3 linked regions of the Arabidopsis thaliana genome follow. The protein of the gene in region 1 interacts with the protein of each later gene in a pairwise test. Each region holds a gene or a part of one and is shown on either strand. Other genes may lie near its edges.

Region 1 (4,465 bases):
ATCGAGTCCTCATCTCCATGTCCAAGTGCTAATCCTTCAAAACCACCCCCTTGCAAAAGAGTCCTTCTCCATAGCTTGTAAACCAACCAACCATCTCTCTCATACCCTAAACCGCGGTTTAGTCTCCATGGAGACGTAATTTTTTCCACTTTTGCTTAGATTTCATATTAGGTTTTGCAGCCATATCGGCCTGGAAGTTTTTGTGAAGCGGGCATGCCATGATCTGCATTCCTCCCTCAAGGTTTTTAAGTTTCTTTCCTGGTCCTAGAATGTTAACGGTAACATTTTCTAGCCCCATCAAAGAATGTTCTCAAGAATCTGCCATATACTCAGATTCAGATTTCTCTTTCTTTTCTTACTTAACATAAGGAAGCCATCTACAAAAGAAGGCACCAGTGTGTCTTTAAGAAAAAATTCTTTGGTTTGTCTCTAAGGGCTTTACTCAGATACATCATCTGAGCATTTTCCCCAGATTTCTTGATTTGTTTTCATCATCTCTGTACAGAATCTCTATCACATATATATAAAGAAGTTTTCCAGAGTGTAACTTTAGGAAAAATGAAAAACTCAGAAGGAAGAGTTTGTTGTATTGTTAAGACAAATATATATGAGTGGAAATATATGATTTGTCTTTTGGTTTGATATATATAAGTTTCTTCTAATGCATTAGTTTACATTTTGCTAATGGACTAAGCTTTCTTCTCTCTAACTTTCAGACATATTTGGAAGTAAAAAGTTTCCAAATCAAAAACAATTTTCTTGAAGAATTAAATATTTTGATCCCCAATCTCAGCTTCAGGCCTTTTTCTTCTTCTGCATTCTCTGCAGCTTCCTCCATTTCAGGTAAATTTGGTAAGACAATCCACCGAACACCATCGACACACATCCCCATTGTTTGGAAGATAACGGATTCCCGCTCAAAACTGAAGATACCACGATGCTTACAAACTTCCTGGTTGTGGTTATGGTCGTGTTAGCTAGAGACCCGAATCTGCTTATTGTCAAGAAGATGAAGTTTTGGCCTACTGCACCGCATAAACAGTACATAAGAATGTCCCATGCTGCCTCAGGGTGTTGCTTGCAGAACTGCACAGCTTCAAATCCGCTCCCATGTGGCAATCCAAACATGTAGACCATGTTGTATATGGTTCCCCATAAATTCATTCCCAGCATTATGTCCCATGCGTTAGTTTTGGGGTACCTGTATCCATGTATGGCGATGATTAATGTCCAACATCTAGACCATGTTGTAGATGTCAGACTGGGTTAAGTATCTGACAGAATGTCAAGAGTCATACCTTGCGGTAATGGAATCCTGGGTTGCGTTTGTGAATCCATCAAAGGCAAGGTTTAAGAAGCAAAGCCCGTAACCAAGGGGTGCATTGGGATGTGCTAGCTTGCTGATGGTTTTAGAGCTTGTCTGTAAACCAAGTCAAAGACGGTTTACTACATTTCCACAGACAAAGTATAACAAAGATTATGATCAAAGTTCCTGAATGCAGATTTGCCTACCTTAAGAAGGGCAAACATAGATACTCCTCCGGCAACAAGAAAGGTGCAAAGATACTCAGGCAAAGTGTATCTTATGCCATAAACTAAGGAGCCCATCAGCATAACTACATGAAAGAAAAAACATATATAAGATACACATAGCAGCAGTTGAGAGCGATTATGGATTGATGCTCTAAATTGACACCTCACCTGGAATCATTTTGGAAGATTTTGCAAGGACCTGCAAGAAGCAAGTTTTGCATCAATATTACTTCCCAAGAAAGGTTATTACCTCAACTATCAACCATAATCAAGAAAAATGAGGTTTTTATTACACTAACAATGCCTAATTTACCTGAGCTGGGTAACTAATATACTTTAAAGCTTCAATGCCCATAGCAGGACCAATGGTATTAGTAATGCCAGCACTCCAATACGTCCACCATGGGGCTCCACCAGAACCTCCGTTGGACCAGAGCTTAATCACTGCTCATAATCAATCAAAAATACTTCAGTTCCATTTATTCGTCTGTTATAAACTTATAATTCTAAGGAATAAACAATGAAGATGCCCTACTCACTTATATAAGACCAAACCAAGCAGATTACATTCTGAGCCAAATTCAGAAATGCAAGATGCTCGAATCTCTTCCCATCTTCACCAAATTTCTTCGTCGACCTAATTCGAAAATGTTAGAGTTCTATCAGCTACATTTCTATAAATTTCCAATAATTGCAAACGCATCACCAACCAGGATTCCGAGAATAGAAACAATCTCGAACAAACAGAATCGAGCAATGTCGAGAGAAAATAATCAACGAGCTAAAATAAGATTGATCGATTTCGACCCTAACGAGTTTTACTTACAAGGTCTCTTGAAGAATGCCTTGGTATATGTAAGCTGCCCAGATCCCAGCGACACAGAACGACAATAACAGAACTCGCCGGAGACCGGAACCGTGAGATTCCATCGCCGCACGTCGCTTATTGTTTTATCCGACGGAGCTCCGGCGAAAATTTGAATTTCAATTTTACGCTATTTGATCAGTTTTGCGATCAAATTATGAGATCGGTCTGAAGTGGAAACGAAAGTTATTAGAGAGAGTGTAGGAGGCGCGAGAAAGACGTAGATTTTCCACGTGTAACTGTGTCATTGGCTTAATAATCTGACATGACACTTCTGATTGGCTATAGGACGTGGATTTATTTCTGGAATCCAAGTCATATGCACATTCATGTCTGAGATAGGAATGGGAACTATGTGCCGTTTTATTGTCATGAAAACGTCACGCAGTTTCCTAGAACTTGTAAACGGATGTTCTTTTTACAGCTTGGGCCTTAATTTGATTAAGCAAACTTGCACACAGCTAATCATGTCAGTTTGACTAACTGATGAATTCATACAAATCTAAGATCACTTGTGGTAAGAAAATGAAAGAAAAAGGCGTATATACACAAATGGAGGAAAGTTGCCAACATGATTTAATTGATTAAAATTTAGTGATGACCCATTGTTAAGATTACTAAAACAAAATATGATATATCTTAAAGTAAATGTGACAATAACGTCAACATAGCGAGAAAAGTTTGAAATATCGAATTTCCATTATATTAAAACAAGGTATCACATGCATGCACTCATGCATAGTTCATTATGATTTGAGTAATTTTCTATACGAATAATATTATACTATATCTCAATGAAAATAGAAGTTATATATATTGGGAAACGGAATTTATATGACATACTTAATCCTCATGGGAGAACCAATTATACATTTTGAAGAGTCAAAAGTCAAAACTCAAAAGAGTGACTCTTACCGGATACAAAATGAAAATAGAAGTCTTGGTGAGATAACAAATTAATGTGTAACATAACAATATAATATCATAAAAGATTCCAAATGGGGCTTTTGTCCACACGTGATATGCAATATGCAAAAGAAAAAAGAACTCTCTTTCGATCTGCCGGTCAATAACAATGTGAATATAGATTAACTGATTAATAAGTAGTTTCTTGGGTCAATGCATGGGATATTATATTTAAGAAATACACCAAAAATGTATTCGACGTTAGCCACCACGTTCCATTAAAAATTCAAATCTAAATGATGATTACCGTCGTCTACATCTATGATTACAAATTTTTTGTCTACTATGCGTTTAGTTATTTACCATGGTTTGACGATTATATATATAACACACATAAATTATGACGGTTTAACGTTGTCTCTTAACTCAAAACTTAATTTTACAAAAATATTATTTAAGAGTTGAATCTCATACTTTAATTATTCATTTGGTCAACTAGAATGCGAAAAATCCACAATACTTCGTAACTAATTTCGGGTCCTTTAAATCTTGATCACCTGTTGATCAACAAAAGATCTACACATAAAGATTGATTCATCCATTGACTAAACTTTTATTTATCGAAGAAAGACTATATATATCTAATGCATGCATGCCATATGCACAATAATCTAATAGTAAATCCAATACGTCTCAGAAAGATAAAATCGTCCATAATACCAAATTTTATTCTAAGGTTTTGATATCTCTCATAATTTGGAAGTGTATGTAAAAGTTTCTTAAACATAAATATAACATCCAAAGAAAAGTTGTAAACACTTAACATCTTGATTGAAGGGGAATCTCGCTAATAATTGTGACTGAACGATAGTAAGTATTATTGTAAAATATCGATCAAAATTTCAACGATATGGGCGATCCAGACCCACCACTTTGTTGTCCCTTAGCAGACGTCAACCATGACCATAATTAGTTAAAAAAAACACCAAACAAAAACCACAACTTCCTTTTAATTCTTTTTAAATTCTAAATTTCAGACTAACAAAAAGTATTCATAAGCTGTTTCATGTATGAATTTAATATCATGAATACTAATAACTTGAGCCATTAACTTTAACCAAAAAAAAAAACTTGAACAATCTAATATAATTCCCTGTAACA
Region 2 (4,464 bases), on another chromosome or scaffold:
AGAATGTTTGGCTCAAAAATTCGAGAAGAGTAACTTTCTTGTTCTCTTCCTAGTTGCTACTGAAAAGAAAAACAAAGAAGAAGGAGAAGAGTCAACAGTGGCGGTTCCGGCAAAGAAACCTAAACCCGCAGCTAAAGCGGCTGCAGTGGCGAAACCGCTGAGACAAATGATGGAAGAAGACGTGATTCCTCCTTTACAAGCCATTCTTGAATCTCAAGATGATATCTCTGACATAGATTTATCTTTCCAAGACGATAAGGTTTCTTGCTTCTAACTTCTAATGCTTTGTTGCCATGCTTATGGGGCCATCTCTCTACCCTATATGGCTCCAGTTTTATTGGATGTTCTCAAAATGTCTTCTTGATTAAACTTCTAAGACAATTATCATTATTTGTGTCAGTTGGAAGGTTTTTTCTTAAAGAAAAGTATTCCATATTCCTTTTGGGCCTTTTTCCCTACTGGAAACCTTACAGGTGAAGTATTGAATCTTTTACTTGAGACTCTTGTTACAGAAAATTTCAATGGAACATTATGTCTTTTGGTTTGTTGCTTAAAACAGGAGCAAAAGGATTTTCAATTTCCTCACACGGGTCAGGTCCGAGCACCGTGGAACCATTTCTTGTCGACGAGAGGAAACCAACTGCGAACCACGTTGTGTTTTGGGTCGAGAAGCGTCTTGCTGCACAAGGGATCATCCCCGTTTGGAACCAATGAGGTTTTTGTTCACTTGTAATTATTACATTTGTATACCAAAATTGAAGAAAACTTATAAATCCTTGTCATAAAATTGATTAAGAAAACAAATGACCCTCTTTTATAAACATCTTTCAAAAAAAATTTGCATAAGGCATACAAATAGTTTGAGATAACTATGAGAAACATCATTTGTTTAAGCCAATCTGTTTTCAGTTGAGACAATTCTCTTCCTTGCCTTCTCAGCCTGCAAAATCATAGATTACTTCATAGCATTAATGAATGAACATAAAAGAATTTACAAGTGTAAAAAGCTGAAATGGCTATTTACCTGTTCCTTCCAATTTATGGAAGCTGTGACAATAGCCAGTATAGTGGCTTGCACAGTAGATCCAACCACAACACCGCACCACAGTCCTTTTCCGTTCAACTCACGACTGAAAGCTAAGTAAATTCCAACAGGAGCTCCTACAAGATAATAAGAAACAGTATTGTTCCAAGCTCCAATGTGTTGCCAACCACTTCCCCTAGCAACTCCATTTAGAACTGCTGTGAAGCCGTCGAGGATAAAGGAGAGGCAGAGCAAAGGAGTTAGGTCAGCTACATAGTCCAAAACTTCTTTGCTGTTGCTGAATGCGTATCCTATGATGTTCCTGCAGGTGAATAGAAGTATGCTAAAGAAAGCTGACTCTACTATCCAGAGACAAAGCCCTGCTAATACTGAAACCCTAGCAACTTGAGGATTCCCAGCTCCCAAATTGTTTGATACACGTGTGCTGCAAGAAACCAATCACTAAATGTTTAGGAAAGAATTGTCTATAATAAGATGAAGATGTTCTGAATGATAAAACTGAGATCATATTCATACCTCACAGCCGCGGCGACTCCAGCTGAAATCACATAGTGCAAAGTTTCTATTGTAAGACTGAAAAGAAGGAAACAGGATTCATTAGTTTTTAGTAAAGAGACCACAAAAGATAAAAAGAAGTCCTTCTATGGTACTTACCAAATTGAAAGAACAGAGGTCTCGAGTTTCGGGTTAGGGAGAAGACCTGAGCAGAGTATGAGTATCTCAAATAGCCACCATTCTAGACTATTAAAGAAGACCGAGAAAATGCAAGCGGGATAAGAAGAAGAGCATTAGGGTATGTAACTTGACGGACAAACAACTTAAAATGACTTACCAAATCATTGCAGCTGATGGGATTCCGTATTGGAAGAACTGCTTGATAGAAGACACAAAATCTCGGGATACAAATCCGCGAGTCTTCTCGCAAGAGCTGGAGAATCTCACATAACATGAGAGTATCACAGCGTAAAACCAGAAAGACACACTTGTAGCCATGGCAGGTCCATTACATCCCAGACCAAACAAGAAAACCAAAGTCCAACAAACCAAAACGTGGAACAAAAGGGTGGTCACGGCAGTGAAGAGCAGAGGAATAACCAACCCTTGTGTTAGCAGAAACCGGGACAGTGGTATGACAATCGCTTGGCCAAATAAAGCCGGTATAAGCCAAAAGGCGTAGGAGCCAGCGATTCTTGAAATTTCAGGGTCTTGTCCGAGAGAAATCAAGATCTTTTCGATGTAAAGCCAGAGAATTGATATGAGGAAACAAATTGGTATGTTGGAAGCAATAGCAGAGTATGCGTAAGTTCCGATTTTTTCATATTGTTTGGCTCCATAAGCTTGGCCACAAAGAGTTTCAAGTGCACCCACTAATCCACACTGCACAAAAATAATTGAAGTGTTTTCAATACTTGAGAGAGTCCATTTGATTCTTGAGTTGAAAAGGTTAGAGTCATAGCATAATTACCATAATGCTAAAACCGGTGACGTTTGTGAAGGAGTTTGCAAGAGCGACACCGGAGAGCTGGAGCTCGCCGTTGTGGCCAGCGACCATGACCGAGATGACAGGCAATAAGTACTGAGCAATGGTCACAGTGGCCATAGGAGCGGCCAAGCGGCTCACTCTCTTTAGCTCGACGGTTAATGGATTTGTATGCCATGTGACTTGAGAAGGGACTAGAAGCTCGTCTCTCAGAAGAAATGGCTCCTCCATTGTTTAACGTTGAAGGCCTTTCCCTTTGATTTTAAGATGATATTTATCCTATCTTTATAGACCGACTAAGTCAATAAACAACAAAGGCAACTTGAACTACAAACGTGGTGACGAAGTAGATATGATGAGTAAAGAAGCAAATTCGTTTTGACTTGTTTGAAAATATAGATACTAGTGGCACACGAATATACTATATTATAAAAATAGATATATAGAATATACATATTAAAAATGACATGTCATTAGTGTTAATACTTTTTAATTATTTACATAAGAACATATGTGAAGACTGAAGACTAATATGAATTATTTTGTTTTGTAGAGTTTGAACATTCAATCTTGTATTAATTACTTTTGTGGATTTTTATATTTTTATATAGTCCTAAAGTTTGACTCTAATTTAAGTAATTTGCTTACCTTAAGTTTTGATTCTTTAGACCACTTTAAAGACATTTGGATCTGATTTTACACAGGTTTTAGTAAATCATTTGTGGTTGAAACTAAAAGTGACAGCCGCTCTCAAGTAGAATCCAAAGTTTCGTCAGAGATTTGTCGTGAAGGTCCGAGTTTCAAAATCTGAATAGTATTGTATTATGAGCCTAAAAGCTCTCTCGGAAAGGGTTCACTAAGATTTATTGGTAGAAGATTGTGGTTATAGTCACAAATACCATAAAATAAATTTATTGGGAATGACATGTGAAAAAATTAAGAAAAGCATGTTTATGGATAAATGATGATTATACACTTACAAGTTACACAACATAGTGAAAAAGATAGGCTGAGAAAAAATCATACATATAAATTATTTTGTAAGAACATTTTTTAACACATTAATATACCATACATAAAAATTTGCTCAACACCTACAAAAATAGTTTGAGATAGCTCTCAGAAACATCCTTAGTTTAAGCCAATCTATTTTCACTAGAGACCATTCTCTTCCTAGCCTTCTCAGCCTGCAAATCATAGATTAAAATTACTTCATAGTATTAAAGAAAGAACAAAAAAGAATGTACAAGTATAACATGCTAAAATGACGAATCTTCTATTCTAAGTGTTTTACCTGTTCCTTCCAATTTATGGAAGCTGTGACAAAAGCCAATATTATGGCTTGCACAGCGGATCCGACCACAACACCACACCAAAGTCCTTTTCCGTTCAACTCACGATTGAAAGCTAAGTATACTCCAACAGGAGCTCCTACAAGATAATAAGCTACCACGTTGTTCAAAGCTCCAATGTGTTGCCAACCACTTCCCCTTGCAACCCCATTCAGAACTGCTGTGAAACCGTCGAGGATAAAGGAGAGGCAGAGCAAAGGAGTTAGGTTAGCCACATAGTCCACAACTTCTTTGCTGTTGCTGAATGCGTAGCCTATAATGTTTCGGCATGTGAAGAGAAGTGTGCTAAAGAAAGCTGACTCTACAAGCCAGAGACAAAGCCCTGCCAATACTGAAACCCTAGCAACTTGAGGAATCCCAGCTCCCAATTTGTTTGACACGCGTGTGCTGCAAGAAACCAAATGACTATTATTGTTTAGGAAGAAGATGTTGAATATGTTTGGTTAAAAATTTGAGTTCATACCTCACAGCCGCCGCGACTCCACCTGGAATCACATAGTGCAAACTTGCTGTTGTAAGACTTGCATTAAAGAAATAAGATTCATTAGTTTTTAGTAAAGAGGATAATAAAAATAAAAAGAAGTCGT
Region 3 (6,942 bases), 7.1 Mb from region 1:
TTTAATTTTGGGAAACTAATAATTACTTTAAAAAATATTACAATTTTTAATTTAAATCTATTAATTTTGTGATTACTATTGTATCCTTAATGAATTTATTTAAAAACACTAACAATCAATGGCATTCTATGTAATATTCTACCCTTCATAAGGTTGTTTATTTACAATACTTCCCAATTAATAGTATAGATTTTGACATTGAAAGAAAAATAGTTTTAAATTTTATACTACATAAAAAAATTTGGTGAATAAAAATTCGGTAGAAGAAATGTTAAAATAAGAAAACAACGTATATTTTGTTTTGAAAAATCATAATAATGAAAAAATAATTCTACCTTTATCTGCAAATCTATAGCATAGCCAAGAAAAATTCGAAACAAAATGCTAACAAAACAAAATGGCTTTGATTTGTTACGACAGCTTTATAATAGTTACACTAGATTTTTGTTGTAGTGCTATTTCTTTCTTCTTTGATCTATATCAGTATTTGTTTACCGTTTTTTCCTCTCAAATTTTTTTCTCTAAGAATGTGCGATAATTGGTTTGCCACTTGAAAGCTCTTAAAGATTCCTAGTTTAGTAGGTGAAAATGATCACTGAGTTAAGGACTGATACTTTAGTGGTCCAAATTCGTTACCACTTGTTTCACATTTACATTTTACGCAAGTGTGTACATTCGAGGGTGAAGTAGAAATTCAAAATTCGAATACAAACTCAAGTTTTACTTCAATCTTCACCATCATTCGTTTTGTAAAGTTTGGTTTCGACTTGGGGATTCTGGTTCAACCCAACGGTTCAAACGTTTCAACGACGAAGACACCTGCATTATTTATAACAATAAGGAGTAATGTATATATACAAGTCAGTTCTTATATTATAACCAAAAAAAAATACTTATAATTTTCTACTAAAAATCCAATAATATTCGATTTGCAAACCTGTTGATCCCAGTCTGTTCTCATAGTCATTACTGTAAGCACGCAAGTCTGAACGAAGATTCCGAAAATCATTCCTAACCAAACACCCTAAATTTTATATTTAAAAAAAAACTATTTTATATTTGTATATACAAAATTAAATTAAAAAACTAAAAAGAAAATATTAATAATAAAAATTGAGACTTACTTTGACTTGTAAACCAACGACATAGCCAAGAAAAAGACCGGAAGGAATTCCAACAAGGTAATAGCAAGCAAGGTTAACGACCGTAACATATTTCTGCCATCCCGCTCCAACAGCAACTCCTGTACCCATTTATAAATAAGTTCAACATGTTGTCTAGGGTTATAAACAAACTCATTCGTCACGTATTCATCATATAATGATAAATTGGTAACTCATTATACGTGAAAGTGACTGGATAGTGGATATATATCACACAAAACCCTTTCTACGTAAAAACCTATAATAACCAATTTCACATATTCAGTCAATGCATGAATATAGAGTGATCATTGAAAAATGAATCCCTACAACGTTCGATGAATTAATGTCTTATATATGGTAAACAATATAGGAGTATCGAAAAGGCAAGATACATACCAGAGAGAACTGGTTGAATACTGTTCAAGAGAATGGAGAAGGCCAAGAGTGGAGAAAGATCGGCTACTTGTGTGGCAACAGCTTCACTTGTTGTAAAAATGTATGAAACCCTTTCTCTTAAAAACAGGAAGATAAAGAAGAAGATGATTCCTATCGAAAGTGATGTCGAAACCACAACCATTGTTGCAAATTTGGCTCCATTAGAATTCCCACTCCCGATCTCGTTTGAAACTCTTACACTATTACAAAACATTATTACAAAATAAAATAAAAATATGAAGATGATTATAAGATATTTAAATAAAGCATGTGTAATCAAATATTTAGAATGACTTAATCAAGAAGAATATAATCAAATATATCTAGTATATACAATATATACGCACCTTGCTGCTGCCATGAAGCCGAAGGCTACCATCATCTCCAGTGCATTTATATTGATGCTGCGAAAATTATAACATATAATATTGAATCTAAGTGCCTATGATCAATCGCAAAAGCATTATGCTATTCCGCGGCTACCAATTAGCTAGAGAGTATAAGTACAATTGGTAACCTAAACCTATCATTTTCTCTAGCATCAATGTATATTGTTATGTAGACAATAAAACCAATTCTTTCTGTTTTCCTACGAACAATGTTCGTCAGTAGTGTTCCGTATGAAGTCAAAAATGGTAAAATGTCAGTAGCATTCAGACGAATGATCTAAAGATAATGTACAAATCGATCGTATGAATATAGCTTCAAAGACAAAAGACATAAAACTGATAAAAATACTTTACCAGATTGCAAGTGCGTTAAGAGCAACCTCAGCGTTTTTCAAGTTTCCCGTGAGCAGAATCAAGATCGAGTTGTACCATAGCTCCAAGCTGCCAAAAATTAATATCACCAAGCAAGTGCTATTATATATTATCATAATATATGTGTATATATATATATATTAATCATAGTAATATTATAACAATAATATTAATACTATTATAGTAATAATATTATTATACAAATACATAAACACGAAATTTTTCTCTATAACATTTATTCAAAATTTCTCAACCTTTGAGAAAATGAATGAATGTACTTGGCAGCTTTTCACCCAACGTGGCATTATATATAAATTAGGTGATCACCCGCGCTACGCCGCGGTTTTTTCGGAATTTTTCGTATTGTTTAGTTTAAATATAATTTTTATTTATCTAATTATTTATTCATGCAATAAGCAATTATTTTTAGTTTCAAGAATATTTTTTCTAACAACATTCTCAACAATGCATCATACATATAATTCATAAATAACGTTTGTATTAAACCAACTTAACAGAGGGTAGTTTTGGATTCTAGAAACCTAAGAATTTGATGATGGAGCTCCTTACGTATTCTTCACTCTCAGTGATTTATTGTATAAATATCAATTTAAGAGAATATAAATATCAATTTAAGAGAATAACTTACTCAAATCATTAAGTAATCTAAGACTATTATATAATCGTATTTTGAGTTTGGATTACAAAAAAAAATCTTCGAGTATGAGAAAACTATTAAAATTGTTTTATTGAAAAATCATGTAATATTAAAATAAATTTAGTAATACTATAATTAAATATGTAAAATTAAATAATAAATATATCATTAACCTATAAATTAGAAGTTGAAGAGCTTACATTAATTACTTAGTAGACACATGGCAAATGCTAAAGTGATGATGTGTTAATCATTTGGAGAGAGTTGGTCAACTTTTCATATATATGATTACAACCACATGGTCTACAAAAGTATTTGTATGACTAGTAAATATATACTTATGTCGTTGATGGATGTTGATACTTTTACCAGGTGAGAAGATTAGAAAATCATACCAAATCATGCCACCGGAAGATACAGATAGTTTAAAAACGGGCCAAAGATCCTTGAAAGCCAACCAAGAGAATCCTCTCCACGTTTCCGTACATCCACCGCATGTGACAAATAAAACCTGCGCAATGTTAGGCAACCAATGTGCTACGAGCGAAGAGGTCATGGCACCAGCGATCCCGAAATCAAAATGAACCACTAGAAGCCACGACAAGAAGACATGGACTCCTAACGAAACAGCAGCAACGTAGGCGATGATCTTGTTCTTACTCTGAGCTTGGAGGAACATTTGGCAAGTGAAGGAAGGCACAAAGGAGATGTTGATGCCTATGACCCATAGAGCTATGATCCGAGCCACACGAACAAGGCGTTCCTCTTGACCTAAAGCCAAGAGAATAGGGCCTGCAAAGATGTAGATGGGCATAAGGCAAATGGTACAGCCTGTGAGGACGATCCATGATCTTTGGAGGTAGATCCCAAGCATATGATATTGTTTTGCTCCATAGGCTTGACCACATAGTGTTTCTAGCGCACTAGCCATGCCTAACTGCATATTGTTTCATTGACGGTTCGTTATTACACCAAAAAAAAACTATTTTATGGTTAAATATTTTACATATTTTGCCTATAAAACAAGAACTAAGTAGGTTTGATAAACGCTTATATATAAACAACTATAATATTTAAACTTTAAACTTGGATATTGCATGTTGATAACTAAAAAATGTATATAACCTATAAACTCTTGTTGGTAAAGAGATCATATATTGTGTATTGAATTTTTTTGGTGTAACTGAATATATGTCCAATGGTCTAATAACATTTTAAAAGCACTATTTCATATTATAAATTCGAACCTCACACATGATATGCTAATTAAAGACCAAAACATTAAGAAAACGATGGCATTGGCAGGTGACCATTGGACATTTGTGGCCAATGACTCGCTATACTTCTTGACAATGTTATCTTTGTTGCACTATGGAGTACAAATAAGAAAAGGGAATATATTGTCTTAATATAAATTAATCTTCTGACTATTCCTTTATTTTTTTTGTCATTTCTTACAATATTTTTTTTTCACTTTTTATAAAATCAATATATTCTCCAACTTTTTTTTGGTTAAAGGTGTTTGTTATATTCTCCAACTTTCTAAACTTTATTCTATTTTGTATTTACCCACTGATTCTACTTAACAATGAAATGTTTTTGTTGCATTTCCAACCATTAATAATAATTGATGTAATAATCAAAACTCATGGAGTTTCAGTTGAGACTTGTTTATGTGAAAAAGGTAACTACACTAACAATAAACGAAGAGTATACGACCAACAATGCCTTCCAAACATTCAATATCTTATATACATAGAAATAGCATAATTTCATTTCATAAAGGCAAAGAGTTGAGTGGTTGTGAATTTTTATGATTGGTTGACAAATCAACCAAAACAAGTTCCCACAAGAAGTCTATCTAAGCATTCACGTCACCGTTTATATAGTACGATTTATATCATTCAAACTAATCAGAACAATCCTTAACATATATTAATAGTTATTAAAACAAAAAAAAATTGTTTTTATGTTTTACGAATTTGTAGTAAAGAGTGTGTGGAAGAACTGATCTAATCGTTATAGACTTATAGTAAACTCACCAAGATACCATTACTAAAACGGAGGAGAACGGTGAGAGTGATGGAGTAAGCGGCCAACTCGGTAGAGCCAAGATGGCCAATGAAAGCTTGACTTATCAAAGATAGTCCGGACGTGGAGAACCTCGTAAAGATCGCCGGCCCAGCCACAACCCATAGCTTTTTAGATTCCCTCCAAACCTTCTCCTTCATCCCTAACCCATCCCGATCTTCTCCGCGATTCTCCGTCGACTTTTTCAGAAGGGTCTCCGTCACTTCTCCTTCTCTTCTCGCCATAGCTTAGGAGAGAATGAAGAGAGAGTAGAGAAGGCATGGAGCGAGGAGAGATTTTTGTTTGGTGGGTTGTTTATTTACGTACGGAGGAAATGAAAAGCCGGCCTACACCTCTTTTTAAGATTCTTTAATTTGCCAAATTGGTATTTTATATGCAAAATGAATACTTTTCATAAATAAATTTTAAATAAAATTTAAAATTTGTCAAAATTACATTTACATTTATACATTGCATACCGAAAAAGACATAGCTAGTTTTGAACAAATCACCCAAAAAATGGGATGAGATAGTCGAAATATATATCACAGCGAGGTATGGCCTCTACAAATATTTTACCAAAAGTTGGTGTTTGAATAGACACATCTTTTATAACCAAACCAAATCCAATTAATTGTTGTAAGAGTTTAAGGTTTTTTGAAACGAACAAAACAAAAATGCAAACTATTGAAACACATCACACATCGGTGGTGGGGGTGGTGTTGTTGTTGGAAGGCATGTGACCGGTGGTAGTAAGACCAACGGTTGGTGTTTGGTGGTAGTTGTAGTAGTTTCCGTTCATGAAAAGGATGTGCGCATGCTCTCCAACATAACCCACTTGTTGATAAGGATATTCCATCAACATATTCATGAGTGGATCATGTTGAAACGGATACTAATGATTTGGATCCAAACTGAAATTATCATAGATTTCATGTTGGTATTGAATATGATAACTAAGACCAATAGGGATATAGAGCTGAATCGGCTCATACTGATTCTGATCCATCGGAAGATCGGCACCCGCAACAGGAAGAGGAGCTGCACCCGCACCCGCAACTGAAGTATGAAGTAGAGGAGGAACGGAAGAAGAAGACTCACCATTGTTTGTAAGGATCTTGACCCTGGAATTAAGCTGATTGATATAGTGATCAATATGAAAACTTAAATCTTGAAGGTCCCTTGCACCATACTGATGCTCACTTATCTTACCCTCAACACAATCAAACATAAAATGTGTAAGCTGAGTTTCTCGGTTTTCAAGACGTAGACGCTCCAGTTTCTTTGTTTCTTTGGTAATTTGGTTCTACAAGTAGGTCTCATGACTCATCATCAGCTTGGACCGTTCTATCGCCGGCCTTTTAATAAACATTAAAACCGCCTCTTAAACACCTTCGGTTGACGACCACACCACTGGATTCTCGTACGGACTGTAGGTTACCACACATGCTTTGACTTCGCAGAGAGTTGTCAACTCATGGAGTTTCTTCGTTATCCGTCCCTTCCTCATGGGCATGCTTGTGTTAGTTAGTTTCGACACTTCTTCCCCTATCAAGCTTACTGCAGTTCGTGTCTCTATGTTTGAGTTATGTATGGTTAAGCTTTTCAATTTTCGAACTTGTTACTCGGATTTCTCCGATGAAGCCTAATCTTCATGTATCTTTCTAATTTCAATTTATAAATTATGAGCACACAAAAAAAAAACCTTGAGAAAAAGTTGTGGAATTGTTTTGTTTTTCTGCATATAATTTACCAAATAAATAATTGAGCAAAACTTGAAAAAAACTTGAGAGAAACTTAGGAAAGTAGTCACAGCATTTAGTTATATATTTTTTATAAAGGTTTTCAATGATGTTATTTTTGTTATGTTTTT

Evidence for each region. The genes of interacting proteins can lie anywhere in the genome.
Region 2: the proteins of UTR3 (region 1) and DTX1 interact in a protein complementation assay, tested with the Arabidopsis thaliana proteins (one large-scale study listed by BioGRID).
Region 3: the proteins of UTR3 (region 1) and AT1G33080 interact in a protein complementation assay, tested with the Arabidopsis thaliana proteins (one large-scale study listed by BioGRID).

Annotation. Positions count from the first base shown.
Region 1 is NC_003070.9:4,910,567-4,915,031, forward strand, and holds UTR3 (UDP-galactose transporter 3), read right to left. Parts: upstream 2,602-4,465; 5' UTR 2,464-2,601; coding exon 2,360-2,463; intron 2,171-2,359; coding exon 2,073-2,170; intron 1,978-2,072; coding exon 1,847-1,977; intron 1,733-1,846; coding exon 1,702-1,732; intron 1,617-1,701; coding exon 1,513-1,616; intron 1,421-1,512; coding exon 1,299-1,420; intron 1,202-1,298; coding exon 796-1,201; 3' UTR 527-795; downstream 1-526. Other genes in the region: FLP (Duplicated homeodomain-like superfamily protein), read left to right, coding at 1-81. UniProt on the Arabidopsis thaliana protein: Essential sugar transporter required for the transport of UDP-glucose from the cytoplasm into the Golgi and the endoplasmic reticulum. Essential for pollen development and involved in embryo sac progress.
Region 2 is NC_003071.7:1,333,725-1,338,188, forward strand, and holds DTX1 (MATE efflux family protein), read right to left. Parts: upstream 2,827-4,464; 5' UTR 2,757-2,826; coding exon 2,511-2,756; intron 2,423-2,510; coding exon 1,878-2,422; intron 1,787-1,877; coding exon 1,700-1,786; intron 1,619-1,699; coding exon 1,562-1,618; intron 1,470-1,561; coding exon 1,025-1,469; intron 941-1,024; coding exon 890-940; 3' UTR 734-889; coding exon of another isoform or gene 560-733; 3' UTR 546-559; downstream 1-545. Other genes in the region: AT2G04039 (DUF2996 family protein), read left to right, coding at 54-259, 401-478, 563-733; AT2G04050 (MATE efflux family protein), read right to left, coding at 3,662-3,712, 3,820-4,264, 4,341-4,397. UniProt on the Arabidopsis thaliana protein: Efflux carrier for plant-derived alkaloids, antibiotics, heavy metal and other toxic compounds. Involved in cadmium detoxification. Requires probably a proton-motive force for the efflux.
Region 3 is NC_003070.9:11,984,124-11,991,065, reverse strand, and holds AT1G33080 (MATE efflux family protein), read right to left. Parts: upstream 5,417-6,942; 5' UTR 5,315-5,416; coding exon 5,042-5,314; intron 3,937-5,041; coding exon 3,395-3,936; intron 2,411-3,394; coding exon 2,324-2,410; intron 1,985-2,323; coding exon 1,928-1,984; intron 1,781-1,927; coding exon 1,542-1,780; intron 1,244-1,541; coding exon 1,125-1,243; intron 1,025-1,124; coding exon 938-1,024; coding exon of another isoform or gene 869-937; exon of another isoform or gene 820-868; coding exon 739-819; 3' UTR 546-738; downstream 1-545. Other genes in the region: AT1G33070 (MADS-box family protein), read right to left, coding at 5,767-5,891, 5,985-6,282.